Diceros bicornis minor: one gene and its partners. The protein of the gene in region 1 binds, or shares a complex with, the protein of each later gene. Links are inferred from orthologs where the notes say so. Each region holds a gene or a part of one and is shown in the gene's direction. Other genes may lie near its edges.

The links.
Region 2: the proteins of PPP2R1A (region 1) and PPP2R3B are in contact, whole or in part, in a crystal structure (PDB 4I5N), measured with the Homo sapiens proteins. The link is inferred for Diceros bicornis minor from reciprocal best matches to the Homo sapiens genes PPP2R1A and PPP2R3B. Residues at the interface, in NP_055040.2 of Homo sapiens: Leu10, Ile13, Ala14, Ile17, Ala41, Leu42, Arg46, Ser49, Glu50, Leu51, Pro53, Phe54, Asp57, Ile59, Asp61, Glu62, Asp63, Glu64, Glu100, Glu101, Thr102, Arg105, Asp139, Trp140, Phe141, Asp177, Thr178, Pro179, Met180, Arg183; in NP_037371.2 of Homo sapiens: Ser122, Ser124, Ile125, Pro126, Thr127, Phe128, Tyr129, Arg275, Trp277, Ser278, Ala284, Glu285, Arg288, Arg354, Ser357, Gly358, Ala359, Val360, Thr361, Arg362, Gly363, Arg364, Gln367, Lys368, Glu394, Arg398, Asp401, Leu402, Asp403, Gly404.
Region 3: PPP2R1A (region 1) and STK26 share a complex: the UniProt entries of both Homo sapiens proteins name them as parts of the core of STRIPAK complex. The link is inferred for Diceros bicornis minor from reciprocal best matches to the Homo sapiens genes PPP2R1A and STK26.
Region 4: PPP2R1A (region 1) and STRN4 share a complex: the UniProt entries of both Homo sapiens proteins name them as parts of the core of STRIPAK complex. The link is inferred for Diceros bicornis minor from reciprocal best matches to the Homo sapiens genes PPP2R1A and STRN4.

The regions. Positions count from the first base shown.
Region 1 is NC_080773.1:28,670,522-28,678,041, forward strand, and holds the start of PPP2R1A (serine/threonine-protein phosphatase 2A 65 kDa regulatory subunit A alpha isoform), read left to right. Parts: upstream 1-4,512; 5' UTR 4,513-4,573; coding exon 4,574-4,651; intron 4,652-7,520. UniProt on the Homo sapiens protein: The PR65 subunit of protein phosphatase 2A serves as a scaffolding molecule to coordinate the assembly of the catalytic subunit and a variable regulatory B subunit.
Region 2 is NC_080781.1:204,414-211,597, reverse strand, and holds the start of PPP2R3B (serine/threonine-protein phosphatase 2A regulatory subunit B'' subunit beta), read left to right. Parts: upstream 1-4,170; 5' UTR 4,171-4,296; coding exon 4,297-4,578; intron 4,579-7,184. UniProt on the Homo sapiens protein: The B regulatory subunit might modulate substrate selectivity and catalytic activity, and might also direct the localization of the catalytic enzyme to a particular subcellular compartment.
Region 3 is NC_080781.1:120,366,063-120,373,915, forward strand, and holds the start of STK26 (serine/threonine-protein kinase 26), read left to right. Parts: upstream 1-4,849; 5' UTR 4,850-4,988; intron 4,989-5,087; 5' UTR 5,088-5,196; coding exon 5,197-5,238; intron 5,239-7,853. UniProt on the Homo sapiens protein: Serine/threonine-protein kinase that acts as a mediator of cell growth. Modulates apoptosis. In association with STK24 negatively regulates Golgi reorientation in polarized cell migration upon RHO activation.
Region 4 is NC_080773.1:22,277,194-22,284,896, reverse strand, and holds the start of STRN4 (striatin-4), read left to right. Parts: upstream 1-4,696; 5' UTR 4,697-4,711; coding exon 4,712-4,993; intron 4,994-7,703. UniProt on the Homo sapiens protein: Calmodulin-binding scaffolding protein which is the center of the striatin-interacting phosphatase and kinase (STRIPAK) complexes.

The DNA.
Region 1 (7,520 bases):
TTTCCCTGGGTTTAGGGAATTTTTTAACTATGGCCCTTAGTTTGGTCTTTGAACGATGGGTGAAAGATATCTGAAAAGATTCGTCTGAAACCTCAGGTAGTTTTATTTTAAAAGGTAATTATTTAAGTCTTTTCAGAGTGGAAAGGCGGTTCAGACAGAGAATCAGTAACCATGAGTGCTCAGGTGAAGGACGAGGGGAACAGTAGGAGTCACGTCAGTGCTCTAGTCTTTTGTTTTAGGTGCCCTTTGTGTCTTTACTTTTCCCTTAGCCTTTTGTAATGAGTCATTTAATGAAGCTATTTTGGAATCTTGCAGCCTTTTGGAAGCTTCTGCATACCAATTAAAATAGGTATTCCATTTTGTTTAATTTAGGAACTCTTGCTTTCCAGTGAACTTCTTAAATAAACAATCTTGTCTAATTGAAACGTTTCCCATAATGACCATTGTAACTCTAGGTTGTTTTTAGTAAGATTTTGCCATTTGGCTAGATATCTACAGTCCAGGACTGTAATTCTTAGACATGAAATAAGCAGGTGTGTTGGAAGGTGGCACACTTGACTCTTTGGAGCTTAAAGATCCCATTTCTTTTTAGTTAAGCCTTTGGGTTTCTTGGAGCCAAACTAATACCTAAGAGGGATGTGCCTGGGTGTTGGGAATTGTGTGTAGTTTTACATTGTGCTTTGTTGCATGGAAATTTTCTTGAGGTTGGTGGGTGACCTAGTGTCAATTTAACCCATTTCATAACCAACTTATCCTAACATGGGAGTATTCTTGAGGTATACAGTGCCCTAACAGCCTTTATTTTTTTTTCATTTTATTGATTTATTCATTTTTTTTGAGGAAGATCAGCCCTGAGCTAACATCCATGCCAATCCTCCTCTTTTTGCTGAGGAAGCCTGGCGCTAAGCTAACATCTATTGCCAATCCTCCTCCTTTTTTTTCCCTTTTTCTCCCCAAAGCCCCAGTAGATAGCTGTATGTCGTAGTTGCACATCCTGCTAGCTGCTGTATGTAGGACGCCGCCTCAGCACGGCCGGACAAGCGGTGCGTGGGTGCGCGCCCGAGATCCGAACCAGGGCCGCCAGTAGTGGAGTGCGCGCACTTAACCGCTAAGCCACGAGGCCAGCCCCCTTAACAGCCTTTAAATGCTTGTTACCAAACCAAGTTCATTTTTCCCACCACACCATTATGCTAATCACCCAGATGATGAGTTTGCAAAGAGAAAGGGTTTAACAAGGCAGCCAAGCAAGGAGATGGGAGAACCAATCTCAAATCCACCTCTGAAAAATGGGATTAGGGATATTTATGAGATAAAGGGGCAGAGTGGTCTGAAGTGGGAATAGATGATTGGAGGTAAGGAGAAGTGAGGCAATTGATGATCTGTGTTTGATCTGCAATCAAACTTCATGACTCTTCATAGGATGCATGTTCACAAAATGGCAGCATCACCATGATCTGAGGGTGGAGTTTTCAGCTCCTTGACATCAAAGCGTCACCTATGGGTCATCCATGCAGGCCCAGTTGATGTGTCGGTGGTCTTAACCAGCCTGAACTGGATGAGGAGTTGACTGTCAGTTCCTGAAAAACTCAAGCACATGTTACCATGGTGACCCAGGCATCAGAGATGTTGTCTATAGTGTGGGTTTTAGTAATTCATTATCTAACTACTTTTGCAACCAGACAACTAACTGAGTATAGTTAAAGCAAGCTGGTCCCCAGTTTCATGCTCGACCCATGCCCAGCAATGTTTGTGGATTTGTTTTTGTTTTTGTTTTTTTTACTTCTGATTCCCATTAGCCACTAGCTTTTACTTAAAACAAAATTGTATTCACCTGATGCCTCAGGCTGGACCCAGTCCAGCTTAAATTGGACCCAGCCTAACTCCAGACTTAGTTGGATAACCACCAGCAGTTCCCCATGTGGAATGGGGGGGGCTAGTGGGAGAGAATTTGGGGAGGGAGTCCAATCAAATGGGGAAAGCCAATTAGATCAGGAGCTCAATGCAAAGAGAGCAGAGCTCAGAACTGAGAGGAACTTACCCACTCCCTCAAAATTGGTAAGAAAGACACAGAACTCAACAGACTTCATGGGTACCACACCTGTGTCTCTCGTCCCCAAAGCTGTCAGAAGTCTCCTTCAGTCCTGCCACTGCCACTAAATCTGTTAAATAACAAAAATTCAACTGAGTAAATTTAAAGATTAAATTGGCTTTGTGAATTAGGCAGCACACTACCTAGCAAGTAGAGAGGAGCTCCAAAGGGCTACAGAAAAGGAAAGGTTTTTAAAGGCAGAGAGGGGGTGGAAAAAGGGAAATTATTAGCAAAGAATGCATGGTTTCAGGCAAGGTCACCATTTTGAAGGGAATGGAAGGGGACTTTCAGGTAGATTACCGCACTTGTGCTGACCAGGTAATTCCAGGTTGACTGGTCAAAGGTTACATTCCAACAGAGGTTTAAACTGCAATTAGGTTGGGTATTAAGTCTTGGTTTGCTGATGTGGGATTTAGCACAAGTGACTCCACTTTGGGTCTGCTATCTCCTTTTTACAAGCATGATATTTCAATTTTGGAATGAGTCAATATGGACTTCACTATTAACAAGTAGGAAGGGTCCCAAAAGTCCTGTGTCTCATGGAAAGTGTATATTCAAGAATGAAGGCAGACTGGCCTCAGTGACATCTCAGCTTTACAAGAATAAGTGGTACTTATCCCTTTGGAGGAAATTTTAAGTTCTACACTGTAGCCAAAGCCACGCACTAGGAACCCTCGACCTCAAGATTCCCCCAAATGATTCACTGATGGTTTAGGTAAGCTAAATCCTAATGGTGTCCCCTGGGCCAGTGTGGCTGTTTAGCCTTAGTGCCAGCTCTGCAGAACCAAAATTAGATGTGATTGTTCTGTTCATTGGTCAGATCTGAGACACCTGGACTGCTGCCAGTGGTCTAGCTGTTTAGTGTGCCACTTGGAAAACTATGGACTGCCAGAATAAGGACACCCCTCTTTTGGGCTGTGAACTGTGGAAACAAATGGCAGTGCTGGAATAATTGTCTGGGTGATTCATTTAGATGTCTATGGTAAAGGCCTGTTGTTTGAAAAGACTGACAAGAATCAAGTTGCTGATTATGTAGTTGCTGTCTGATGCAGAGGCTACCTCTGCATGGCACACTTGTGACTTTTTATTTTGCCCCAGCTTGATTGAGGTGTAATTGACAAAGAAAATTTCAAGATGTTTAAAGTGCACCCTTAGCTAACTAGACCCATAGTCTCAGTGAGCTGGTGAGGTAGGGAAGGATCCTGGGAATATGGACAGCAAGGATTGAACTATGAAACACCACCACCCCTTACTTTTTATGGGAGTAGTTTCCTAATTGGAGTGGGTAGAAGTCTTTGGAAAAGATGCTTGGGCTATTCAGACCTGTCCAGGAGTCCTCGCTCAGCCTTGCCCTTCAAGGGGCACAATAATGGGTGAAGAAGCACCCCAGGCTTTCCCATCACCGCGCCCAAACTCCCTCATTTAGGGTGGTCCTAAGATTGCGGGTAGGGGGGCTGTGATGAGTGAGGCTAGGAGCAGACACTAATCAGTACCAATCCTGTCCCATTCTGTGGGAGGAGACAGACATCAACACAAGAGTCACAGCCTCAGCCTCGGGGATGGGAATTTTGAGAGAGAAACAGGTTATGTGGCTCCTTTTTTTTTTTTTTTTTTTTTTTTTTTTTTTTGTGAGGCTCTAGGGGCTTGAGGGCCAAGCCTGAAGAAAGGCAGGGAAGGGGAGACATTTATCTAGAGATGAGACAATTGAATAGAAACTGCTCTCCAAGTAGAAGGTATGTTTTGGGCAAAGGCTTGTTGGCATCACGACGAACTCAGGGGGCTAATTTTCCAGGACTGCTGACGTGTAAAAAGGAGAGATGGGAGATGTATCTAGATAGAGTTTAGGAATCAGATCCACAAAGGCCTTGAATACTAGTCCGAGGGACTTGGGTTTAATCCAGATAATAAAGCAACTCGCCAGCCTTCTCTGGACCTCGGCATAAGGCATAAATCAAAGCCTCACTCCCTCCTGCCCCTCCCGCACAAAGGCGCCGGGCGTCCGCCTGCCAGCTAAAACCTTCAGACGGTCCGGGTCACCTCCTGATGCCATGCAGTCCTACCGACGCATGCGCAGAAACTTTCTCCAGGAGTCGCAGACGGGCAGGCTTCGCCTCCTCCCAATCCTGCCCCTCATTGGCTAGAAACAACAGCTCGTCTTGGCCGTTGCTAGCGACAACGTAGGCGGCTACGATCTTGGTCGCTAAGATACCGCGTACTTCCGTTTCCTTCTCCCCCACTCCTTGGCTCCGGCAAGCCTTCTCGTCCCTTCCACCAATGGCAAATGGGCAGTGGGCGGGACTTGATTTGTCCGGACCAAAGAAAAGCGGGCTTCTCTGGCGCAGCGCTGCCAATGACCGTGGGGCCGCCCCTGTAAAGTGGCTCGGGCGCCCCCACGCCCGCCTTTCCTCCTCCCAGCTCTGCCCCTCCCTATCCGGATTTCAGCACGGCGGTAGCCGCAGTCTGACAGGAACGGACGGAGCCAAGATGGCGGCGGCCGACGGCGATGACTCGCTCTACCCCATCGCAGTGCTCATAGACGAGCTCCGCAACGAGGATGTCCAGGTCCGGAGGCCACGGGGGGCTTGAGGAAGACGGGAAGGGGGACATGGAGGCACGGGGGCTCTCGCGGAGAAGGCTCAGCGTTCTCTGGGCGTGGCGGGGAGAGAGCGCAGCCAATCAGCGTGCAGCTCTCATCTCTCCGGGTCCCAGGACTCGATGCAACAGCGCCCGGGATTGGGTGTTGGCCCAGCGGAGGGCGGGAGCGAGGCGAGTCTGGAGGGTCCCGGGCCTGCCGAGTGCACGCGGCGGCCCCGGGCCTGGGAGGCCGCGGCCAGGGAGGGGGTTTGCCTGGTTGGTCGGGGACAGGGAAGGGCTCGGTGATTGGCGGCGGTCCCTGAATGGCCCCTTGGGGATGGAGAGGGAGCGTGACTTGCTCCGAATGGGGGAGGGGTCGCCTGCTTGGTCTGGACCCGGGTAGATTTTCGCCTTTCTGGGTTTTGGCGGCTGGGCCTTAGCGCTGTGGGGTAAACTCCCTAAATGGGGGAACTGAGAGATGGAGGCTGCCTTTCCAATTCCTTCCCTCCCTCCAATTTTGGTGTATATCCCCGAAGGAGCGGGGGGCGGCTCGCCAAATTTAGGAGTCAATTACGAGGTAGAAACCCGCTCCCCTTTTGGGATCGTCCCATTGACTGGGAGGTGGGCACTTTGCTAAATGGGCTAACACATTTCTGGTGAGCCGAATAGGGTGGCTCAGGGCCCTGAGCCTGGCTGGCGAGGATTTGAGAAAAGTGAGGACTCCACGGTTTGCCCATCCCATCTGCACCTCCCACCCCCGCCGTGTGACCTTATGCAAGTTACTTCATCGCTCTGGCCCTCTGTTTTCCATAAAATGTGGGCTAATCATAGTCCTAACCTCATTGGGTGGTTGTGAGAGACTGAACGAGTTAATAATACATGCAGGTAAAATAGAACGGTGTCTAGCCTGTTGTGAGGACCCAGTAAAGGTTAGCTATAATTATTGAGTGTTGGTTGAAGAGGTCTCATCCTCTCTTTGGGCCTCAATTTCCTTATTGATAAAATTGAGTGGGTTACTCTGGGCCCAGCCTCTGAGGTTCCGGGTATATCACTTTGGTTCTGTAGTCAGACAGGCTGCTGTTGTACTTCTGGCTCTTCCACTCCTTGCTGATTGACATGGGCAAGTTAATCTCTCTAAGCTTTGGTTTTCTCTTTTCTCAAATGGAGGTCATTATCTAGTTCATAAGGGCTGTTGTAGGAATTCATTTGTTCAGTAAACACCTGCCACATATCAGGTATGGTGCTGAGGATGTAGTGGTGACACCAGTTGTTATACAAGAGACGTGTGGAACAGAGCTGAATACATTAATAACACATGTGAGATGTGGTGGGAAGAAAACCATAGCATGTTGTGACAGTGAATCAGTAAATATTTATTGGGCCTCTGCTCTGCGTAGGGCACTGTTGTAGACACAGGTATATAAGAAGATTGACAAAAGCTCCTGGCCTCGTGGAGTGTACGTTGTAGTGAGGGGAAACAGACAGTAAGTAAAATGTATGCTATGTTGCGGATAAGGGCTAAGGAGGAAAATGAAAAGTGGTGGGGGATGCAGTTTTAAAGAGGAGTTAAGGAAGGCCTTGCTGCAAAGGTGATGTTTGAACCAAGACCCGAAGGAGGCAAGGGAAGGAGCCATGAGGCTCTCTGGGTGGAGTACACAGCAAGCACAAAGTGGGGTGAGGAAGATCTGTTTTAAGTAGGGTAGTTAAGGAAGGCTTCTCGAGGAGGCAGAGTTCAAGATGAGACCAGAAGAAGGATCCAGCCTTGGGAAGAAGGTGGGGGAGAGTCTTCCAGGTAGAGAGAGCAGGCAGGTAGTGGCAGTAGTTCTCAACCAGGGTGATTTTACCCACCGCGGGACATTTGGTAATGTCTGGAGACATTTTTGGTTGTCACAACTGGGGAAGTACTCTATCTGGTGGATAGAAGTCAGGGATGCTGCTAAACCTCCTATACAGGACATGGGGTACAGGACAGCCCCACAGCAAAGAAATATCTGCCCAAAATGTCCATAGAAGTGGGATTGGGAGAAACCATCGTATGGGATGGGAAACTCTCGAGGCAAATTTAGTGGCTTAAAAGAACAGCAATTTATTGTCTTACAGCTCTGGAGGTCATAAGTCTGACCTGGGTCACACTGGGCTAAAATCACGGTGTCAGTAGGGTTGCGTTCTTTCTCCAGGCTCCAGGGGAGAATCCATTTCCTTGCCTTTTCCAGCTTCTAGAGGCCACCCATATTTCTTGGCTTGTGGCCCATTCCTCCATCCTTAAAGCCAGCATTGTTGCATCTCTGTGACTGTTCTTGTGGAGTCACATCTCCCTTTGACTAGCCAGGAAAGGGTCTCTAATTTTGAGACATGAGATTGAGTCCGACTGGGTAACTCAGGATAATCTCCCCATCTCAAGGTCCTTACCTTGGTCACATTTGCCAAGTCTCTTTTGCTTGTAAGGTATCATACTCAAGTTCTAGGGATTAGGGTGTGGACATCTTTGGAAGGCCATTATTCTGCTTACCACAGTCCTTGTGGCTGGAAGGTAGAGATCGAGGGAGAAAGTGGTAGGAGTTTGAGTGATATGGTGGTGGTGAAGTGCCCTTTTAAAAAAATTTCTTTTACATCTTCAATTGGTTTAATGTTTCTTTTTGTTTATTCTTTTGTTACTTTTATTGCATTGAAGTCTGAAGGGAAACTCCTCATTCAACAAATATTTAAGGAGTGCCAGGTGTGTGCTGGGGATTGATGTGGGTAGTGGGGCAACAGCAGTGAACAAAACAGGCAAGAATCTGCCCTGATGGAGCTCCCTTTGTTGTGGAGGCAGACAAGGAACAAACAAGTACAATGTAGAGGAGGATAGACAGTGCTA
Region 2 (7,184 bases), on another chromosome or scaffold:
CCATATTTGTTGTTCAATCATAACATTTCCATGTTGTACTGTATAATTGCACATTGAATTATCTAATTATATACTTCCCCCCTCCCATGCCATTAGACCACGATATCTTTGAGATCATGAACTGTCTGTTATTCATCTACGTCCCCCGGCTTGTAACACATACTCAGAAGATCCAATACTCACCAGTTTAATTATGCTGCATTGCAGCGTAATAAACAAATTGTAAATAAATGAAGAGAGATGGATAGAGAAAGAAGTTACAGCTCCTCACAAGCATTCAGACCATAGCTGGACAAAAGCAACAAAAAGCAGACCCAGAACCGAAAAAGGTGCAGAATTTAGAGGACGGGGGGCCACACAGCCCCACGACCTCCAAGCTCCCGAGCCCCCACAAGCCAGTGACTAAAACTGGGATACTGAACCAAGAAAATAAGTGACGTCTGAAAACGTTAATCGTAAATAGTAAAAAACCATGCACAGACACAACTTCTGTAAAAGGGAAAATATGAGCACTCCTCAATCATTTTTTTTCATCATTTAGACTTTTTTAGTTTGCTTAAAACTGCTATAAATCAGTTTCATATTTCTCCTTTGTCCAACACTATTACTCTTCTAAAGCTTATCAAAATGGGAGCTAACAAATAAAACTATTGTTCTTGATTGCTAGGTCTGTATGGCATTTTACCTAAGACACTACAGCTTAGATGGAAAACTTTTAATGGGTTTTCCCCCCATTTCTGTCCGGGTTGCAGTTAAACCCTGACACATGAGGAATGACCATAAAACTGTCTTTGCTGAAAAACCTTCAAAGGCCATTTGATCCACCGTGCCGTCTCTGGAAACCCATCGCGGAAAACCACTCTGCTTTTCATCGAGGGGAGAACAGTGGCGCTGGCTCCTGGGTTGCCTGAGTCCCGGAAGGAAGGGGGTGCGGGGTGACTGTGGTTCACAAGGAAACGTTTCAGCGACAGTAATGAAGTATGCAACCTTCAATAACGGAACTCGACGGCCGGTCGGCTCCACACGCCCATCTCACATTATGAGATGTCCAAGGTTCGGCAGGGGAAAAGAGCAAATTCCCCCACTTCAAAATTGTGCGAAAGCAAGTCTCAATGAGCAACAAATGAAACCAAATGTTGTAAAGGAAATCCATCAGCAATAAAGAGAAGCTAATAAAAATGAGGGAGGGAGAGGTCAGAAAGGCGGAATTCATAAATAGCATCGAGAAAGGCCAATCCGAAAAGAACCTGGACACGATCCTTTATTGAACTCCTCTTAAGTCTGCTACGCGGAGAGGAAATGACTTGAAATCAAACACGTGCACTATTTGTGGCTATTCTGGAGTCCGTTTTCATGAGAGAAACACAGATTAAAGAAAGAAGAACGAAACCCACTTAGGTTGAACACATGCGCTGGATAGAAACTTAATCGCTCCCTGATCTCTAGCTGCACGAGCCAGTGTATCTTTGGAACTTAGGGTCAGCCCGGGACCAGTGAGGTCCGACCTCCTAGGACACGTTCTCTGGGGTGTTCTCACTTCTTAAGTCTGAGTGTGCAGACAGCCCCCCGGGGCTCTGGCAAAAGGCAGACTGATTCAGCAATGGGATGGGGTGACATACACATTTCCCAGCAGCTGCAGGTGTGTGACCAGCTTTCAGGGGCCTCGTGGGCTGCAGCCACAGAAGGCACCTTGGCTCAGGTGGACTCAAGAGGGAGCAGCCCTCCGTCCCCAACCATCCTGCGCCCTCCTCTCCTACCCTTCCTGGATAACACCCGGGGAAGCCCGCTCACCTTCCCTTTCCCCGGCCCTCACCTCGTGCACAGTCCTGCAGAATCTTCTTCACTTACACCCTCCCCACCCCGCCCTTCCACCCTGAGGCCCTCCAGCCACCCCTGGAAGATGGACGGCACCGGCAGAGCTCCCGTTCCTGCAATCAGCAGACTCCTGCTCCTGTCTGGGGGCGTGCCATGCACGTCCCAGGCCCCGCCAGCCTCACAGCAACGCTTTGTGTTCCCAGCGCCCGGCCGGCACAGACTGAAGGTGTGTTCTGTGTCCGTCCTGCAGTTTATTTCCGTCCCGTTGGCAACCGCACAACATCTACCTTTGGCCTCCCCGCTGTGCATGGGCGTATAAAGCTGTCTTGTGCAGGCGATCAAAAAACCCCTTTCCCCACTAAAACCACACGGATGAATGGAGCTGTGCCTGGCTGCTCATTCAAAGACCCCGACTGAAAAGCCCATTTGTTCTTTGACAAGACGTCTGTATGTGATAAACCGAGATCTGTATGAATATTTACTGCTCTCCAGCAAGAACAGCACCGCACACACAAGCATTTGCTTCCCAATTAATGGAAATAATTTTGCAGAATTCCTGCCTGACGGTGCTCTCACCACTGAGTATACACGGATTTTTATCTCCAGTCACGAAACACAAACTCAGCTTGAAATCACTGCATGCACAAAATAAAACCATAGTTTAAGCAAGTTACCTAGTAACTGAAAGTCTAAAACATAAAATAAAAAAAGTTATGTAGTGAGTCCAGCTATATTTATACTGCAGGCAAGTAGGAGAACCTTCCCTCATAAGACCTCGAAATTACCCCCAAACGGGAGCAAACACAACCGAAAATTTTTTTTATAAAATTATATTAAGAAAATGTTACCAAAAAAAAAAGGTCAAGATGTCAAGGCAAGACGTGCATGTGTGCAGTGTGGACGATTTATCCATCCTATTAAAAGTATACACTGAAACAAGCTAGCCATGGGGTCAAAGCTCCTTTAAGTAATTTCACCTCCACCAAAGTAGATTTATTATTTTTGCAATTACAAATGCAGTTCATTGTCATCCTAAAAGGCCAGCGGTTAAAGTAGTTGCACACTCCCAAGCCATCATTATTGGTTGATAAACAAAATTAATGTCTGCGGGGCCCTTGAGGTCCGAAGTCGCCTGTTTTTTAACTAAAAACTGCTTCCCCGGCTTAGCGCGCGCTCCCGACTTCCGTAGGGCATGCTCGCTCCCGCGCTCGGCGGGCACACACTGCACATGCCCGCCCGCTCCCGGTGGGCAGGCACTGCGCATGTCCCCTTGCCGTGCCCCTTCCACACCGCCGGGCCTCCGGCTCGCTCTCGCCAGACAAGCACCGCGCATGCTCCACCGACTGGTCTCCCGGACGCCGCTACCGCGGACACGCACTGCGCATGCTCGACCCACCAGCCAGCCGCCTCCTACCTCGGCGAGCACGCACCGCGCATGCTCGCACCTCTGCGGCCATAGAGTCGCCTCGCCGGTGTGGGGTGGGCTGCACCCCTAAAAAGCCTAAAAGCGGAATGTCTTCGAGTGGGGCAGGCGCCCTCTCCCGCCCCTGTCCGGACCCCAGCTCCTGAACACCCCCCGTCTCCACAAAGGCCCCCCCACCCCCCGGCGAGGCCACAGCAGCCCGCCGCCTCTCAAGGCAAGGAGGCGTGCGTGATGACGCCACGCGTCGCGGTGACGCGCGACGTACGCGACCTTCCTTGGGAGCGCGGCGGGCGCGCCCGTTTTGAAGCTGTCCTGAGCGGCGCCGGCCTGTCCGCCGTCCGGCCCGAGTGTCCGCGCAGCGCTTCAGGGAGGGCGCCGGCTTCCTGAGCCCGCCGGCCGGGCCGCCGCCTCCTCCCCGGACCCGGACCCGAACCCGAACCCGAACCCCGCCGGCCGGGCCGCCGCCTCCTCCCCGGACCCGAACCCGAACCCGAACCCCGCCGGCCGGGCCGCCGCCTCCTCCCCGGACCCGAACCCGAACCCGAACCCCGCCGGCCGGGCCGCCGCCTCCTCCCCGGACCCCAGATCCCAGACCTGCAACTCCGCCGGGCCGCCGCCTCCTCTCCGGACCCGAACCCGAACCCCACCGGCCGGGCCGCCGCCTCCAGCCCGGACCCCAGATCCCAGACCTGTATCTCCAACGGGCCGCCGTCTTCTCCCCGGACCTGAACCCCACCGGGCCGGGCCGCCGCCTCCAACCTGGACCTCAAGTCCCAGACCTGCACCCCTTCCCCTGACCCCATGCCCGCGCCCCGCCCCCTCCCGTGACCGCGCCCCGCCCCCTCCCGTGACCCCGGGCCCGCGCCCCGCCCCCTCCCGTGACCCCGGGCCCGCGCCCCGTGTCCTCCCCGGATCCCGGGCCCGCGCCCCGCCCCCGGGCTCGTTCCCCTCCGCGGCCGTGGTCTGCACCGCCGAGGTCCCTCCGGGCCGGACTTGGCCGCCGGCGTCGGGCGCGCGTGCCGCAGGAGAGCCCGCGGGGAGGAGGGCGAGCCTCGGAGATGCCGCCCGGCAAGGTGCTGCAGCCGGTGCTGAAGATGAAGGTGGACGAGCTGTTCCTGTGCTGGCTGAGCGAGTCCAGCACGCAGAGCATGCTCCGGGGCTGCCTGCAGAGCATCCAGACGCCCGCGGGCGCCGAGCGGGGCGCCGGGGACGCCGGCCAGCCCGGGCCCCCGTGGGCAGCCCCGGCCCCCGCGTCCGCCGCGCTGCCGCTGGGCGCCGCCTCGGGCCCCAGGGTCGCGCCGCACGCTCGCGGGGCCCGCAGGTCCGCTAGCCCGAGAGTGGTGAGTGCCCCTTCCTTCCGCTCGCACCTGCGACGGTGACTCGGGCCGCGTGCGGCGTGGGGCGCGCAGAGGACGGACGGCAGCCGTGACGGCGCGTTCACAGACAGTCTGGTGCCCCAGATTCTGCAAAATGCTGTCGTTGGCCCGGTCCCCCGTCGGTGGCAATTTGGAGTTTGTTTCAAATTTTCTAGGTCGGTGTTAGTTACCCGCTTAGCGATTTCCCCTACTCGGCTTGAACCGAGCGGTTTTGCCCCAGATTGGTCTCGTTTTATCCCTCATTTGTCTCCGATAATTACAGCTGGACAGCGGTGTGTTACAGAAAAGGTGCTTTCTGACGTGGAATACTGTGTCCGCGTAAAGTAAGGAAACGTGGCCTCCAGGTGGTTGGTTCATAGTGAATGTAGGAGAATCATAGAATTTGTTCTAAAGCCTGAAATAGTGGAACTTGTTGATAACATTTAAAGTTTTCCAGTTGGAACCAGTGTCCCATCAGCAGCACTAAGCACGTCGTGAAGTGAGACTTCACTATCTGTCAGTGCAACAGTTTTCCAACCAAAATGGACCAGCCACTAAGGGGACGGTGAGAGCCAGATGTCCAGCCAAAGAGAACACGTTTTGCTCTAAGTTATTGGTGGTTTTCTGACACGCTCCAAGGGATGTAGCACATTTTCAGGGAAGTAAGTCCCCAAGGAGAATGGGAAGTAGACCAGAGGCAGCTTCACAGACCACCTGGGTGAGACCCCCCACACGTGCCCAGAAAGACGCTGGTGTGGGCCTGCGGCAGCGCGTGGCCCCCAGCACCCCCCGCTTCCGTGCGCTTTCCCTTGTCTTGTCTGAGTCCTCATTTTACTGAGGCCACGGGATCTGTGAGGAGGGCTGGGCTGAGAGAGCTTCCTCCAGTGGTGGCAGTTCTCTCCCTGCCCCAGGAGGCATTCATATTGGCAGTGCCCACGTCTTACTTAGCGAGCTGCCCTCTGTGTCGTTAAATATGTCTCAGGGACAGAGCCCCACACTCCTCTAAGGTAAATTCTTGAATTCCGTGACACCGTGACTTTGTGTGAATCATCCAGGACTGGAAGAATATACAGGTCAGCGCTGTGCAAAGATGGCAACTTGGATGCACGTGAAAGGAATATACTTCTGCACAGTGATAAGCTGCAAACAAGTGAGAATTAAGTTCCCTAAGTGTTCAAAGCAGGGAGAGGTCGTTTCTGCTTGGAGAGAGGGAGTGACTTGTGGGGTTTGGGGAGTGCACTGAATTGGGGGGGGGGGGCAGGGGGCAAAGGGAGGATATTCCAGGAAGGTAGTTCAGAGTGTGAAGATCAGATGTTGAGTCCTGCTCAGACCAGAGCAGTCTGACAGCGGAAGGCAGGCTGCCAAGCCCGGACCGTGCCGTGATGGCCGGAATGGGAGGGGTACAGAATTCGGGGCTGAGGAGTCTGCGCTTGGTTCCACGGCTGGCTGCTCAGGCTTCTGAAGGGTGACGGATTCAGTGCATGGAGCCACTGAGATAGAGCAGCCTAAGACAGGAGTGAAGAGGCTTGGCCCCTGGCCTGGCCGGGGGTGCAGGGAGCAGAAGCTTGAGGATGACAGAGAGGCGGCGGGAATTGCTGACGGAGGCAGGGCGAATTTAAAGATCCCTCTGCTTTGCTGTGCACCACACCAGACAGAGTAAATCAGCACGAGGAACCAGTTTGGAGCGAGACCAGAATGATTTTCCCTTAAACGTCCCCAGAGGTTTCGATAAGCAGCGCTTGATCTCCTCTGGGACCTGAAGTTACCCTGAAACATGTCTGAACGTATTCAGAATTTGTGGACTGCTTTAGCTGAATAACCCAAAGGGACCTATCTGTCTATCGGGACAAAATGGGAAGAGCTCATTCCTGTACTCCCCCTAAATGCGGCGTGCGAGGCAGCGTTAACAAAACCTGATTCCCAACCACAGACCCTGGCAGGGGCGGGGCGATGCCCAGGGGCCCCGGGACGAGGTTTTCATAGGTAATAGACCTTTCCTCAAGTGCACAGACGCGTCCAAGACTGAGCGTGAGGCGCCTGGCCGTTCCTTGTCACCGTCGGCCCGTCTAGTTCCCCAGGTAATAGTAAGAGGAGGCACGCTCCCCGTGGAGATAGTGCACGGTGCGTCCCAGAACGACGCGTGATTCGGGCTGGGGTTGCTGTGTGGTGTTACCCGCCCCAGGATGTCACAGTGGGGACGTGGCATTCTGTGTTTGGCAAACATCCTATGTAAAGGGGCACTAGGAAGGTCCCCTTCCCATCCTTATGGAGGGACAATGGTGCTCGGGGGCAGAGAGTGCACACCCAGTGTGTCTGTGCCGATGGTGCCAACCAGGATGCTACTACCGGCAGAAACCTTAGCGTGCTTTTAGAGTAAGTCCTTGCGAAGGGAAAGGAGAGCTTAATGTGGATGAGCTGTTTCTTCACATGCCTAATAACCCAGGGACGACTCGGGAGGAGAAGGTCAAGGTTCAGGCCAGGGGCGCCTCGATTGACCCTGCACATTTCCTTCTCTTTGACCACATCCCAGGACTCAGCCCTGGGTTCCCTTGAGCTGGTGGGATGCGACTTTCATGTTTAAAGGAGAATGA
Region 3 (7,853 bases), on another chromosome or scaffold:
GTCTCAACTGCCAGTTTTTTTTCCTGTTTTTAACTGCCACCTTTGACTAGAACTGTTTTCTTGAGAAGCCTACAAGTTAAAGAACAAATGGTCAATTCAATACATTTTAAAAAGTTAATTCAGAGGGAAAAAGTATCACCCGAATTGGTTGTTTAGCATCATTTCATGGTAACACATGAAGGGTTCTCCTGTGACTAAAAACTACACACTGGAGAGCACAGAGAAGTTACCTGACTTCATTACAAAGAGCCCAGTCTCCCAAAGAATCTCTCCTAAGAAACTCCCCAGTCTCTTCAGGTACCCCTATTGGCAACACAAAACTGTCATTATAGGATGACTGGTGCAGCATGCCATGGTTCTGTCACCATTGAGTAGACTGTGAGCGAATGCACGCAGGCTTCTGAAGGCCTTCACCTTGGGTTCAAGGCAACTAAAGATCAAACGTGCAATTCTGTGCGAGTTCAGGCAGGCAGCAAAACTGGAACCAGGAAGATCTATCTTAACATGCCAACTTTTGACTCCTACCTCTATGTGTGAATCAGATTGCCTGGGTCACATTTACCCCTCTCAGTTCTGTAACCAATTGGTGAAGGCAAGAAGTAATGAGCTCGCTTCTTTTGGTACCAAAACGCAAATATTTCAAAGTGAGTAAGGGTATATGTAAAGAAATGTTATAAGCAGGAAACCACTTAAGCGGCATCTGCTTCGACCCACCTCCTCTGTTGCTCTATTCCTCTCAGTAGTGTCAGGAAGTAAAGTTAGTAAGAAAATTCAGCTGCGACGAGTCTTAGATACTAGTTTTTGTTATAAATGATACTATGGTAGAGTACTGTGCAAGCCCCAAAAGGTGCAAGGTTATTCAGGAGAATTAAGCAATTATACAGATTTAATGCTCCCTGACCGAGAATTGATTCCATAGGTTTTTCCTTGGGATGCTTTGCTGGAACAATAGCAAGGATACAACATCTGCAAGAACTATTATATCATGGTTTCCAAGAGAGAAACCAAGAGAGTAAAGAAGAGATTTGAGGTATCACATATGCTTTTATATATATATACGTATATACAAAAGACTCTTGAATGTTGTACTTCCAAATATCAGTACAGAGTCTGGTAGCTTGAATCAAAATATTCCTATCACTGGATGGTGAGCTTCTAGAATTACCCAGATAACTTCCTTTGGTTTCAAATATTCAGAGAATTGAAAGAAATTCAGATAATTGTATCCATTTGCCCTTACACTTCATACATTTTTACACTTTATACATTTCAATGTAGTTATTAGGCTCAAAACGTGAAAGTCCAAAATGTTAAACCCTACCTTTAAATTTTGTAAAGTGGGGTAAGAGGTCAAAGTTACCTCAATGAAGTAACATATTTGAAGGCTCCTAGGTATTGCCTGGTACATTAGAACATGCTACATGATTAAATTATTTTTTAGACAAATCATTAAATTTTTCTTAAAGTTATTTTATGATCGATATTATTTTTCATTAGGTAGTATTCACTCTTTCGAGGCAGATGATCTATGGTTTAATACAAGGTAATATAAAAATACTGTTTTGTTTCCAGTACCCCCGTGCTGTGGCCCAATGTCTTGTGAGGTTTTTTGGTGTTTTTTTTTTTTTTGGCCCTAGCCATCACATGGAACTGAAATCCTCAGGGAACAGTAATTCCCAAGTTTGTTTTTTGGTTAGTAACCTCTATTGCAAAGAGTATAGAGCATGGTTTCTCAAACTTTGGCACCCTTGACATTTTGGGCTGGGTAATCCCTCGTTGTGAGGGCTGTCTTGTGCATTGGAGTATGGTTAGCAGCATCCCTGGCTTCTACCCATTACCAGTAGCACCCTCTCCTCCCCATTTGTGACAACCAAAAATGTCTCCAGGAGTCAAAAATGACCCTGGTTGAGAACCATGGCCCTAATACATTATGTCACTTTTGCCTACATTAAAATTTAGCCATTTCTGCCTACTTACACTTTAGCTCTGAACCAGGCCATTCAGTAAATATTTATAAACACGGATAAAGGTAAATATTTAATATTGAGGGTATGACAAATGTAGGAAACTGAAACCACAGATTGTAAATTTAAATTATTAAGTTTGGTGGGGATCAAGGACACTGTCTAACTTGGAATTCACTGACTTCGCTTAATCTGTATACAATCTTACTTTATCTATATGGTTATTAAGTATTCATCACCACTCAGGTCACATCAATCAAGCAGGTACCAAATCCTATGTGAGGCACTATGTTACATTCTATGGGGCTGCCAAAGAGTGGAAGATGTGGTGTCTCCCCTCGAGGAACTTTTTCCATCAAGCTGTGGGAATATGTTGTAATATATTATTAGACTCTGGCCTGACATTTTGAAGTAAAATATTCAAGTGTCCTTGTTGAGGGGGAGTACCAAAGCACATCTGAATTTCTTATCATTTTATTAAAATTGAAAAATATATATATATGAAAAAGCATACGCAAACCACAAGGAACTCCATGTAAAAACTCAAGTGATCTCTATCAATAATAACACCACCAGATAGTTTATTTAATAACAGTAGGCCTAAACAAGGTCAAAAAGTTTACTAAGATCTTAAAGCAGTATTTTTAAGGAAATGTCTCAATAGTTCAGGTCTCAAAATTTAGCATTCAGTCTTCCACGTTCTTTCATAACTCTGGCCCAGAATGATGCCAGGGAAAGTGACTTCAAAGATATGCTTAATTTACTTATTTATTAAAATTACACAACTTGCTCTTAGGTGGTTGTGAAATCAAAGTAACTGGAAAGAATTTAGAAGACAAAAAAAGTGAAAGGTGTAACATATTATAAAGTTAACAATTTAAAGATTCAGCAAAAGCAGTGCCTAGGAGTTTAACCAGGCATCAATAAAACATACAGTGTACCCAGAGTGTGGCTAGCACTATACTAACCTCAGTGAAGAATTCAAAGGAAATCCCTTCATTCATTCACTCAACAAATAGCTAGTGAGGGATTATTATGTACCACACATTGTTCTAGGTTCTGAGGATACAGCAGTGAACAAAACAGACAAAAATCTTGCCCTCAGAGAGCTGACATCCTACCTGAATAATTCTTATGTAAGAAAAGCTGGATCTCTGGCCTCAAGCACCCAATAATCTTGTTGGGCAGAATAAACAAATGAAATGCACGAAATAAGAAAAAACTACAATGTGGGTGCAAGAGGAGAAGTTTGAAGGAGGGCTTGGAGCAATGAGGAAGGCTAAATCAAAATCTGCACTATGGACATTAAAGTTGCGTGGCACTGCAGGTTTCTGGTCAGGCTGGCATTGTTAAGTGTGAGCTGGGCTGGTGGAAAATAGAGACTGGGTTGAGGCCTATCACCAGGTTAGAAGTAGTGAGGGCCTGGACTTGGGGAATCGGGAATAAGGAAAATGCAATAATATCCTTTATCATCTGAATGGATAATGAAAATGTGGTGTATATACATACAATGGAATATTATTCAGCCATAAAAAAGGAAATTCTGCCATTTGTGACAGCATGGATGGACCTTGAGGGCATTATGCTAAGTGAAATAAGACCTGGGTTTGAATTCCCAGCTCTACCACTTCTTAATTGTGTGATATTTTCTTCCTGTGTAAAATGAGAGAAAAGCAATATGACCTCAGAGGGCCCTCGTAAAGATTCAATAAGATAACATACATATAGCACTTAGCAATCCCTGGGGCAAAGGAAATGGCATCCATTAATAATAACGATATTGATAACAGTAATATGCTATCTTTTGAGAAAGATTCAAAAGGAATAAGAGAAATATTTATTGAGCATCTACTAGAGCCCCAACACTGTGTTGGGTACAGACCTACAGCAACCTGCAAGGTAGGGAATTTCATCCTCATTTTAAACTGGCACTTGGATATTACATTTTAAAAACGTAATTAACCCCTTGCAGGTTCCCAAAGGTACCTTCATAATGCGATTCCCGTAATTACTATTATTATCGTTGTTACCGTTGTTATTATTAGGGTGCTCTCAAATGAGCTTGTCTCCCTCCTGGAGTGGAACTTAAAATGGAGTGGAGGCTGGGAGTTGCCGAAACCACTGCTGTGTATGCTGAGTTCAATAATATGGACTGCTAATGATCCGATCTCATTTCCCATGCCTCTATTATCCTCATTAATTTTTCTGCCGATATACCATCTGTTTTCCAATTTCCCTCTCTCTTACACGTGCAGAACTTGTGGTGAAGAGAAGCCCCAGTCTGGCCGTCCCCCACCAACTGATAGCCCCAGAGGTAGCCGTAGCCTCAGGTTTAAGTCACCTGAAGCACGTCTGGGGGCAAAGAATCCGGAAAACAGGAGAGTGGCTACGGATCCGCCCAGTGGCGCAGCCGCAGGCTGAGGAGACCGGACCGCGGGAATGAGCAGGGGTCCACTGACTCGGTGGCTCTCTGTGCCCCCACCCTCGACCAGATCAGGGAGCCAGGAAAGATTTCCAACACTCCCCAAGTTTCAGTTCAAGACGTCTCCTCCGAGGCTGCGTGTGCCCCAGCCTCGCACGCCTGCCTGCAACGTGGCCGCGTCTGGGACGCTCTCATACCCCCAGGGTCACCAAACTCTTTCATTCTCTCTCCAGGCCGAGCCGCGTTCCAGGTCCCGCAGTCCTCAGGGTCTCCTCTCCGTGTGCCGGGAGAGTGTCCCCCTTCGCAGGCTCCAGCAACTCCAGCCAAACCCCTTCACTGCGTGGAGCCTTAGCTCTCCTGACACCGCCCGGCTGCGGGGCGGGGGCAGGGCCAACGGCGGAACCGCCCCCAACCGCCTCCCGGGCCAGGCGAGCGGGCGGGTTGCTGGGGCGCCTCCACCTCCTCTTCCTAAAGCGGCGAGGCGCAGACAAGCGGCATCACTCGAGCCCAGGTCCCAGCCACCGCCACACACAGCGCCCCGCATTCAGGAGGAGGAGCAGCAGCGGCGGCGGCGGCAGCAGCGCCGGGCGGGCGCCAGAAAGGTAGACTGAGTCCCAGAGAACCGCGCCGCGAGCTGCCCACCTCCCAGTCTGGGCTACGCGCTACCAGCCCAGTAACCCCACTTCTGTGTGTCCTTCCAGGCCCCGGTCGAAAAGCCTGGGAGGGCCGCGGAGCTACCCCTGGAGGAGGAGCCAGTCCGAGCCCAAGGCGCCACCGCCGAAGAAGCAGTGTGGAGCAGCAGTCGCCTTCATGGCCCACTCGCCGGTGGCTGTCCAAGTGCCCGGGATGCAGGTGAGGAAGCCCAGGCCTCCCCCGCCGCCCACGTGACTGCCCGGGAGCCCGGTGCGCGCTCCGCGCTGGGCACCGGCGACGAGAGGCGGCCCCAGGGCTCCCCTCAAGGCAGGGCCGGGTGCTCTGGCCAGGTGTCCCAGGAAAAGGGCTCTAAGTTTTTCTTGGAGTTTAGGCTAGGTAGTGCACTGCGCGAGGAAGGCAGGGAGGGACTGGGGCGCGCAATGAGGTGGGGATGTGGGGGGGGGGGGGCTTATAAAAATAGGCCAGAGCGAGACACCTGCGCCTGCTGAGCGTGATACGGTTGGGGATTGGAGGTGGGAGGACTTAATTTTGGAGAGATGGAGGCGTCTCGGAATTTGTGGGGTAAAACGCAAGTCGTGCTGTCCTACCATACACACAAGTTGGGGCGGAGCAAGACAAGGGGGTGTCGGTGGCGGCGGCATTGAATTGGGCTCTTCCTGTGTGCGTAAAACGAAGAGCGAGGTGACTTCTTTTCCCCTTTTGGTGCTGCTTCTGAAGGGCAAAGTTGTATCTCGCTCCCCCAATGGCCCAGCCTATAGTATGGCGTGAGAAATGCAGGGTCCTAGGTCCGAGTCGCCGAGATGATGACTCCCCAGTCCCCTCCCGCTGCCTTTCCCACAAGATGACTGTTGAGTGTGCTTAAAGAAAGCTTTTTGTCCTGGACAAGGGACTACAGCATGGGACCCAACTTCTTACTCGAGATCTACCCAGCCCCCCATTATTTTTCATTTTATTAAAGAAGAAATAAGCTATGTCCATACATTTTTTATGCTATGTTTTTAAATCCGTGCATTTCAAGCTATCTACTAGATTTTATCCAAGTCTACACTACTTTTAAGCATTCACGTTTTATTTTTTTCCTTTGCTAGATAGCCTAAACAACCCATTTATGAATAGGTCAGAGGCTAGCAACACTAAAGCCTCCGTCCCTCATTATCTTCGAAAAATGTGAAAGCAAACTTTTTCCAAGTTCAGAAAAAAAATGTTTAGAGTAGTAAATAGACTGCTTATGTTTCTAGTAGAAATCAAAGTGCTGTGCATTGGGGCCTCAATTTACTAACTGATGCATGGAATTCATCCTTTTTTAGCAATTGGTCACATTTTATGCATGGTCACAAAAAAAAGTGATTTTTAAAATACCTTCCCAAACAAGGACCATTTGTGTCAGACATATATCAAACCTACGATTCCCGTGTGTACTAAGCACCAGGCCTTTTCGCTGAATGTAGGGCAAGTCTGTGTTGAGTCCCAGGAAGTCGGTGTGTATTTAATAAAGAAGAGAGGAAGAAAAGAGGAAATGAGAAATATTAGGGCTTTTTAAAAGGTTAATCCATTCAAGCTTTACGAAACGCTTCAAACTTGCTTCTAAGGCCACCCCCCATCCTTCCCTCCCTCTTTCCCTCATCCATCCTGCCCTACACTCCATTCATTCAGTCCTAACTTTGATTGTATCAAGAGAATTAGTAGTTTGCAATAATAACTACAGTTTTGCTCTGTCTGATGTGGAAGAAAGTGCGAAAAATTTCCCGCAGTGCTCTCTCTTCCATTATGTGGAGGGTAGAATGTTACAGATGTAAAGTTTGTCTCTAAGGGTCTCCATGCTTCTCTCTCCATTGTGTGCGCCCTCCTGCGTGCGTACGTGCCTGCGTCAGCAGGGTGAGTGCCTCCAGTTCATCAAGCTTGTGATTCTGGGGAACACTGTGTGCCGAGGAGAAAATGGTTTGTGGTCTTTATTCATTTCTCTTGACTTTATTTGATTTATATGGTTTCTGGTCCTTATTTGATTTGTCTTTATTTGATTGGTTTAGGAATTGCTTGCTGTTCAGTATTTCTTTTTGCCCCCTGCTTTGTTTAATTATCTGAGTTCACTATCTCTTGAATTTTTAAATCTTAATTAAGGTGGCTTAGAATGTGAATCACATATTTTAAATTACAAATTCTGCCTTTCAGTTTATGCCTTCCCAAAGTTGTGAATACTTTGTCCAACCTAATTTGGGGAGGGCTATCATTCAATATTAGCAAAGAAGAGAGGAATATTTATTTGTCACTTTCTCTGTCTTAATGAAATGGTAAATTCTTAACTTCTTATTTCCATTTTCTTTGTGGATGTGGTTCTTAAGCATTTTGTGCAACACAAAAGTTTTCCACAGTTAAAATTGTACAGTATCCTAAAAATAAATTTGATGGCATGCAGTGTGACTCCTGAGCCCAGACTACTTTTACTATTCTTTTGTTCAAAAATATTGCAGATGAGATGCAGAAATATACCATGAGCTTGTAAAGTTCTCCTACAGTTTTGTTAAAGAGTTAGGAGCAACTTTTAGACCTTTTGAGTAGTAAGAAAACTTGAGTTAGCCATGTGTTCCTGAAATTAATGTATAGTATTTCCACAAATCAGGGTGAAGTGGTCGACCGGCCTATAACTTTTTAACAGTTTATTTTAGAGAATTATGAAGATTGATGGAAAAAATGATTTTTCCAGAAATAAAAACAAAATTACTTTATTCACAGTGTTTTTCTCCCCCTGAGGAGAGACGTGAAGTACAAGCTGAGCTACCTGTTCTATCACTTAAGACTTCCAGCATTCCTGACTT
Region 4 (7,703 bases), about 6.4 Mb from region 1:
AAATGTTTTCTCACATCAGAATTATCCCAACTCTTAATGTTGGCCACTAATTAATTTTTTTTAATGGAACGGGTCAAATTCATAGCAACAGAAAGTAGAAAGGTGGTTGCCAGGGCTGTGGGGAGAGAGAAATGGGGAGTTTAACAGTTACAGAGTTCCAGTTTCGCAAGATGAAAAAGTTCTGGAGATTGGTTGCACAATAACGTGAATATACTTAACGCTACTGAACTATATACTTAAAAACTGTTAGGATGATAAATTTTATTATTGTGTATTTTAGCACAATTAAAAAAAATTTTTTTTAAGTGGAGTGGCTGAATCAAGAGAGGCTGCCCGCCGTACGACACGCCCCTATTCATTGGCCACACTCCTAAGCAACCCCCAGGTGGCGCTGTCTCCCTGTCCCCATCAGGACGGGAAGATTTGGCTGGTCTCCAGCACGGGAAGTGTAATTAACTCTCTCTGGGTTCTGAGCAGATACTCAAAAAGTTTCCCCACGAGGGATTCTCATAGGTTTCTATCCCGCCGGGGAGGGGAGCATCAGAGCCCCAGCTAAACTTCCTACCTCCTAAATACTTCTGACCCCTCCTCCCCATTCCCACAGCTCCCCTCCCTCAGCCTGGGTCCACCCACAGCCCCACTCAGCCTCCTCCTGGTCTCCTGACCAAGTCCCCTCCTCATGGCAGCCAGAGGAGTCTTCACAAAGCACAAATCTGACCTCTCCCCCCTGCTCAGAACCTGCCATGGCTCCCCAGTGCCCTGGGGAGAAACTTTAAGTATCTTACAACATCCCACAAGGCCTTGTGTGACCTGGCCCTGACCCGCCCATCATCCCAGCCCCATCTCCCGCCATGGCTCCTCAAACTCTATGCCTAAGCCACCTCGGACTTCTCCTCCAACACGTCTTATTTCTAAGTCTTTGTACATTTTGTTCCTTCTGCCTAGCAGAGTCTCCTCTTGAACATCCCGTCTCCCCATTCCTCTTTTCTCCTGGAAAGCTCCTACTCATGCTTCAGGCTTCAGCTCAGATGGCCCCTCCTCCAGGAAGTCCTCCCTGAACCCCTGGCTGGGTCAGAAGTCCCCTCTGGGCTCTCGCAGCCCCTGGGGTCCCCCCGTTCCGGGCCTGCCTATTCTGGTTCAGCACCATCTGGGGATGGGTCTGTCTGCTCCACTAGACTGTGAGACCTGGGAGGGTACAGCCAGGGCCATTCGATCACCGCTGTGTTCCTAGCACACGGCTGGGCACTGAAAATGCACTTGGCAAAAAACTGATGGCGAGGGTCAGGGTTTCTGTGTGTCTGTAAAGCCCACTCAGGTCCCTGGAGCCACACTCCGCACTGTGGCCATGGGCCTGGGGCCCTGCCCTGGCCTTCCTGCCTCCTCTCTCTCCCACCCTCTTCACCCATCCCAGTCCCACATGCCCTTCTCTGCCCCAGCTCGGCTGGTACTTAAGAACCTGAGTTGTAGGGGCCGGCCCCGTGGCTTAGCGGTTAAGTGCGCGCGCTCCGCTGCTGGCGGCCCGGGTTCGGATCCCGGGCGCGCACCGATGCACCGCTTCTCCGGCCATGCTGTGGCGGCGTCCCATATAAAGTGGAGGAAGATGGGCATGGATGTTAGCCCAGGGCCAGTCTTCCTCAGCAAAAAGAGGAGGATTGGCAGATGTTAGCTCAGGGCTGATGTTACACACACACACACAAAAGAATCTGAGTTGCACCTTGAGAGCGACTTCTTAATCCTCAGAACCTTGGAATTGCCTTCTGGCCCTTAGACTGATCCCTCCTTCCTTCAGTCCTTCAATGTCTATTTGTGGAGCTCCTACAACACGCCAGCACTGTTCTAGGCCCTGGGGACACAGCGGTGGACACACAACACACAGAGACAGACAACACCCCTGACCTCACGGAACTCACATTATTACGGGGGGAGGGGCCTTTGGAACCACAGAGTCTTCGAGGTCTTAAAAATCTCAGAATCTTAGAGCTTAGGTACACAGAAGCACAGAAGAGAGCCTTAGATAGTTTTAGAATTTTCTAAAGATTCTAAAGTGACCATCTTCTTGCTCTACTCTCATCCCCTATAATCTGTTCCCCACTCAGCACCAGAGGGATCTGGTTAAAACTCGAATTAGATCTTGTTCTGCATCTGCTCAAATCCTTTTGTGGCTCACAACTCACTCCGAGGAAAACCCAAAGTCTTCACGGTGGCCCATAAAGCCCCGCATGATCCCCCGTCTTCTCTCACTCGTTCACTCAGCTCCAGCCACACACACCGGCCACCAAACGCATCATTTGTGTGGAATGAAGGAGGGACTCCCGTTGCTCAGATGGGGAACCTGTGGCTCAGAGGCAGAAAGGAGGCAGGTGGCAGAAGCCGGGTCTCCACTTCCAGGCCCTGGCTCTTGCTGTGCTCTGTCTGGCTGACTCCGGGCCAGGAGGTGCCCAGCAGGACAAAGGACAGAAACCAGGTCCTTGGAGAGCAGCGGGTATGAGAGCCAGATGAGGAGGGGAGCGGACCAGAGAAGAGAGAGCAAGGAATCATCTAGTACCCCGACAAGGTCCGTCTCAGCTTCCCCAACTGTAAGGGCTCAAAACCTCTTCACTGGGGCAAAGTGGATGAAACGATGATTTTGAAGGTCCGAACGTTCGACATCTTTCTGAATCATGATAGGATGATAACAATATCAACAATGCTAGCCACTCATGACGTGCCAGACTCAGTTCTAAGCACTTTACACTATTAACTTGTTGCATCTTCATGTTACGATCACATTTAAAGATGAGGAAACTGAGGCACAGAGAGGTGAAGTCACTCGCTCAGGGTCACACAGCTGGGAAGAAGACCCAAGAAGCTGCTTCCAAAGTGGTGCTTTCAACCAATAAACTGCTGTCTCTGTTGGGTCCACTCAGACAGTCCAATTCTCGGTCCATCTTCAGTGAGCTTTCCCCCGCCCTAACCGGACAGGGGCTTTCAAAGCTGAAGATGGCACATTAAATAATTCATTCAACTCATTCACTCAACAAACAGATGTTTATTGAGTGCCCTCTGAGCCGGACCCTGTGATGAAGGAGGCAGTCATGGGGCAGGCCCTCCAGGGGTAGGAAGACAGACAGAACCACACAAACAACTTACAGATAGGGCAGGAAACCAGCAGGGGGCGTGACAGAGAAAAGGTGGTAAGTTAAGGGCAGTTAAGCTATGTCTCTCCACTCCCCCCAAAACAATCTAAGTGGATCCAGATTCACTTCAGGCCTGGGTTCACCTGGCCTGAGCCTCAGTTATTGCATCTGTAGAATGGGTATGTGATGGGCAGAGAAAATAAGCGACATGTGGGAAAGCCTTTGGGGACAAGGAAAGGGCAGTTTCCATGTGACTGCTGGTGACACTGGGGGACTTCTTACCTCCTAGGTTGCAGGCTGGGGGAGCTCCAGGCAGGTGGTTCCAGCCCAGCTCAGCTGCACTGCTGAGGGAAGGAGAACCAGAAAACCTCAAATCAGCCAATTTTGCACAATAGAGCACAATTTCATCTTATCTACAAAAGTGGCAGTGAGAAGGTCAGGGAATCATTTCTTTTGAAGTCGCACAAGCTTGGGCACCACCTGGAGCATCTTAGGAGTGGGAGGGAAGGATGTTAGTTATCATAGCAACCTCTAAGCATCCCTCTCATGAATGTGTCCAGAAAGGTAGGGCTGGAAGTGACAGAAGGTGTTACCATGACAACTCCTCCCCTAGACACACTCCATGCTGAGAGACAATCATAAAACATCCCGTACCTTAGTGGGCCTAGTTCCAAGGGTCACAGGAAGGGGGACTGCCCCCGTTACCATAGTAACCAGGGCTTGGCCTTGCCTGCTTCTCACGTCTCTGGGGATGGGCCAGGCTCTGTAACCATAGCAACTACTGCTCAGCAGAGCATCTTCTCTAAATAAAAACACCTGTTGGGTTTGGTCCATGGACCTCCCACGATGGGGAAGGGGGGAGATGGTTACCATGGTAATGCCAACTGAGTAGCTGGGGGGAGGGGTTAGGAAAGAAGTGTTTCCCTCAGCCATCAGTGTCCTTGGGGCTGGGGCCCTTTTTACCTGAGTGCTAGGTGAGGTTGTCATAGTAACCAATGAGGGTAGGGGAAGAAGGACCACAAGGGACTTAGGTTACCTTAGCAACCTCCTCCTGGTGCAGGTACAGGAAAGGTTTGGGACTCCATAACCACAAAGGTGGAGGGGAAGGGAGGGGAGGCTGGGGTGTTCCGAGCTGGGGAAAGGTTACCATGACAACCGCCCCTGGCCAGGAATGAGAGAGGATGGTGGTCGCCCTTTCTCTCAAAGAGTGACAGACATTGACTGTCGATGAGAGTGGGATTTGGGTCTGGAGAGGGTTTGAATCTTTCTTTGGGGTGAAGAGGGAGAAGGGGGGCACATAGCGACCCCTCCCCTAGTCCCGCTCTTCCCAGGGGCGACCCCCGCGCGGCGCCTGGGTCGCGTTTGCCCCCCTCGGGGCGCGCGCCCCCTTCCCGCCCCCCGCGCGCGCACGCGCGCCGTCGGGGTCGACCCGGGTGGGCGAGGCGCGCGCCGGGCCTCGTTCCCGTCTCCGCCCCCACCCCCCCAGCCCCGGCGAGCGCGCGCGGAGGGCCGGGGGGCGGGGGGGGGGGGGAGGTTGGCGCGGCCGCGCAGGCGCGCGAGGCACGGCGGGCGCGCGGGCCGGCCCCGGGGCCTCCATGATGGAGGAGCGAGCGGCCGCCGCGGTCGCCGCCGCCGCCTCCTCCTGCCGCCCGCTCGGCTCCGCCGCAGGCCCCGGCCCGACGGGCGCGGCCCCGGCCCCTGCCCCGTCCCCCGGGCCCGGCCCGGCCGCTAAGGGAGGCGGCGGCGGAGGCAGCCCCGGGCCCACGGCGGGGCCGGAGCCCCTGAGCCTGCCCGGGATCCTGCACTTTATCCAGCACGAGTGGGCGCGCTTCGAAGCGGAGAAGGCCCGCTGGGAGGCCGAGCGCGCCGAGCTGCAGGTGAGCGCCGCCCCGGGACCCCCGGCCCCCCGCCCGGCCCGGCCCGGCCCGGCCCGGCCTCACCCGCCGCCGCCGCCGCCGCCATCTTGGAGCAATGGCCGCCGGGACGGCCGGGGGGGCGGGGGGCCGCGGCGGCCCGAGAGGAGTGAGGGGCCGGCCCAGGGGGGTCCCGGGGGCCCCGGGCGGCTCGCGGCCGAGGGGACCCCGGGGCGGGAGGGGCCGGCCGGGTCCGGCGAGAGAAGGCCGGGGGACCGGAGCCGGTTGGAGTGGGAGTGGGCTGGCCGGTCGGGGGGTGCCGGGGCGGGGTCCCCCCAGGGCAGCCCCAGAGAACTCAGCCCAGAGTGATGGAGGAGTTGGGGGCTGATGGAGGAGTTAGGGAGCGAAAGCTCAGAGGGTGCGGGGTTCTCCCAGCCCCGGCCCACCAGGTGCGCTTGGAGGTGGAGCCTGATGGGCTCCAGGTGGGAGAGACGGGGCGTCGGGGACCCGCCGGGTCCGGGGTGGGGGAACCGGCCTGAGTCGGGAGAGGAAGTCGGGGAGCCTGGGAGGGGGTGTGTTTCTGAGCGTCTGGAGACGGGAACTGAAAGACGGCTGTGGGAGGACTCGGGAGGAGCAGAGGCTCTCGAGGAGTCCCGGGATGGAGGTGTGTGCCTTCCTCTCCGAGGAGGGAGCTTTGGGGAGCCCTGGCATGTGTGCGTACCGAGGGCAGGGAAGGGTCCCTGCGGTGGAAGCACGGACGGGGCCAGGACTTGCCCTGGGAGCCTGTGTGGGAGAGCTTGAGAGCCGAAACTCCAGTTTGGGGGTGTGGAAGAGTGGGGGCTGCAGCCCCGAGATGGAGGAGTGTGTAGATGTCAGGTGGGGCTCTGAACTGGAGTGAGAGGGGTCAGGCTTGTCCACCGTGGGATGGGGACACTGAGGAGGAATCCGGGGGCCCCTGGAGGATGGCAGGGGGAGCGTGTTGCAGAGCAGGAAGGCAGCGTGAGGAAGCATGTCAGAACGACCTTGGGGGGCGGGGGGGGTGGTGGTGGGGGGGGTGGGAAGGACGTGTTTGTGGAAGTTTCCGGGAAAGGACCTCATGATTTGTGGAGTAGCTTGGGAGAGGGATGTGCGCTGGGATGATGTTTGGAAGAGCCTGAAGAGCTGGGCTGGGTTTTGTGACCTTGAGAAGTGTGGGTCCCTTTGCAGAGAGTGTCCCAAAGAGCCTGGACATCAGCGTTCTGAGAGTTTGAAGGGGTCCAGGGACGGGCTGCCAGGAGTCGGAGCGTTCCTGGGCTGGTGTGTTATTAGCAGAAGTCAGCACTTGCTTCTAGCAGCCCATCTTTCCCTTTCTGATTTGAGGTTTCCTATCTGGTTGAGTTGGGGACTCAAATAAATAACTGATTAGAATTTTGTGAATAGGATGAATAAAGACAGCATTCCACAGTTCTCCCAGCCCCACTAAGGATCTTAGCCGTCTGGCCAGCTGAGGGTTGGGGTGGGAGAGGAATCCTTATGTAAGTGCTCCTCGCCTTTGCATCCCGCTCTACTTCCGGAGCTCTTTCCCAGGGTACAGCTCATTAGATCTTCTCAATACCCCTTTATGTGGGCAGCACGAGTGCCATTGCCCTCTCAGCAAAAATGCCAGCAGCTGCTGTTTATTGAGCTCATGTTATGTGCCAGGGCCTGGACTGAGTTTTTTAGATACATGGTATCATTTAATCCTTGGAACATTCTGGAAAGGTGAGTGATATTACCGCCCCCCCCCCCCCCGGCCCACATTTTAAAAAAATAATCGGAAGAAGAGATGGAGGCTTTGAGAGGGTCAGTGATTTGCCTAGGATCACAGCCCATGGGTGGCAGGGCTAGTCTGAGGGCTTTCAAGCTCATGCTCTATAGCTCTCTGCCGCCCAGTTCAGATGAGCAAACTGCTCCCAGGAAGCTCGGCAGCCTCCCCAGGGTCATCCACGCAGTCGTAGCAGACCCGGGAGTGAACCCGAGGCTCTGGGACTTCACGCCGGTGCACCCTACAGCACCCACCACACCACCTTCTCATCTTTGAGACTGATGAGAGAAAAGGTGTGTGTTATTCCCTCCCTTAGTGGCCCTTCTGGGAGTCTGAGTGGAACTCGTGGATGGCACCCAGAAGGCTCTTCCTTTTCTAGGCTCCACATCATCACTGTCTCTGTACTTTTGTTTTCTTTTGTTCTGTGACATTAGTGAACATTCAGAGGTCTCAGAAATGTGTGTGTATGTAAGTATACATATATGTGTGTGTGTGTCTGTGTGTAAAAGGAAGTCCCCCTCCGTCCCTTTCTTCCTCTTCTCTCCAGCTCTCCTCTCCAACTTCATTGCTATAAAAGTATAAAAGTAGTGCAGCTTTGTTGTGTAACGTATGAGATCATATTATATGTATCGTTTTGTGACTTTTTCACATACTTGTGGGTCTTGGTGTCCTTTTCACGTCAGCACAGAGAGCTCTTCCTCTTTTTTTTTTTGGTGAGGAAGATTGTTGCTGGGCTAACATCCGTGCCCATCTTGCTCTATTTTGTATGTGGGACGCCACCACAGCATGGCTTGATGAACGGTGTGTAGGTCTGCCCCCGGGATCCGAACCCACGAACCTGGTCTGCAGAAGCGGAGTGGGCGAACTTAACCACTACGCCACAGGGCTGGCCCCTCTCTCTCATTTTTGATGACTGTGTTCCACTGGATGTTTGTACCATAGCTCATTTAG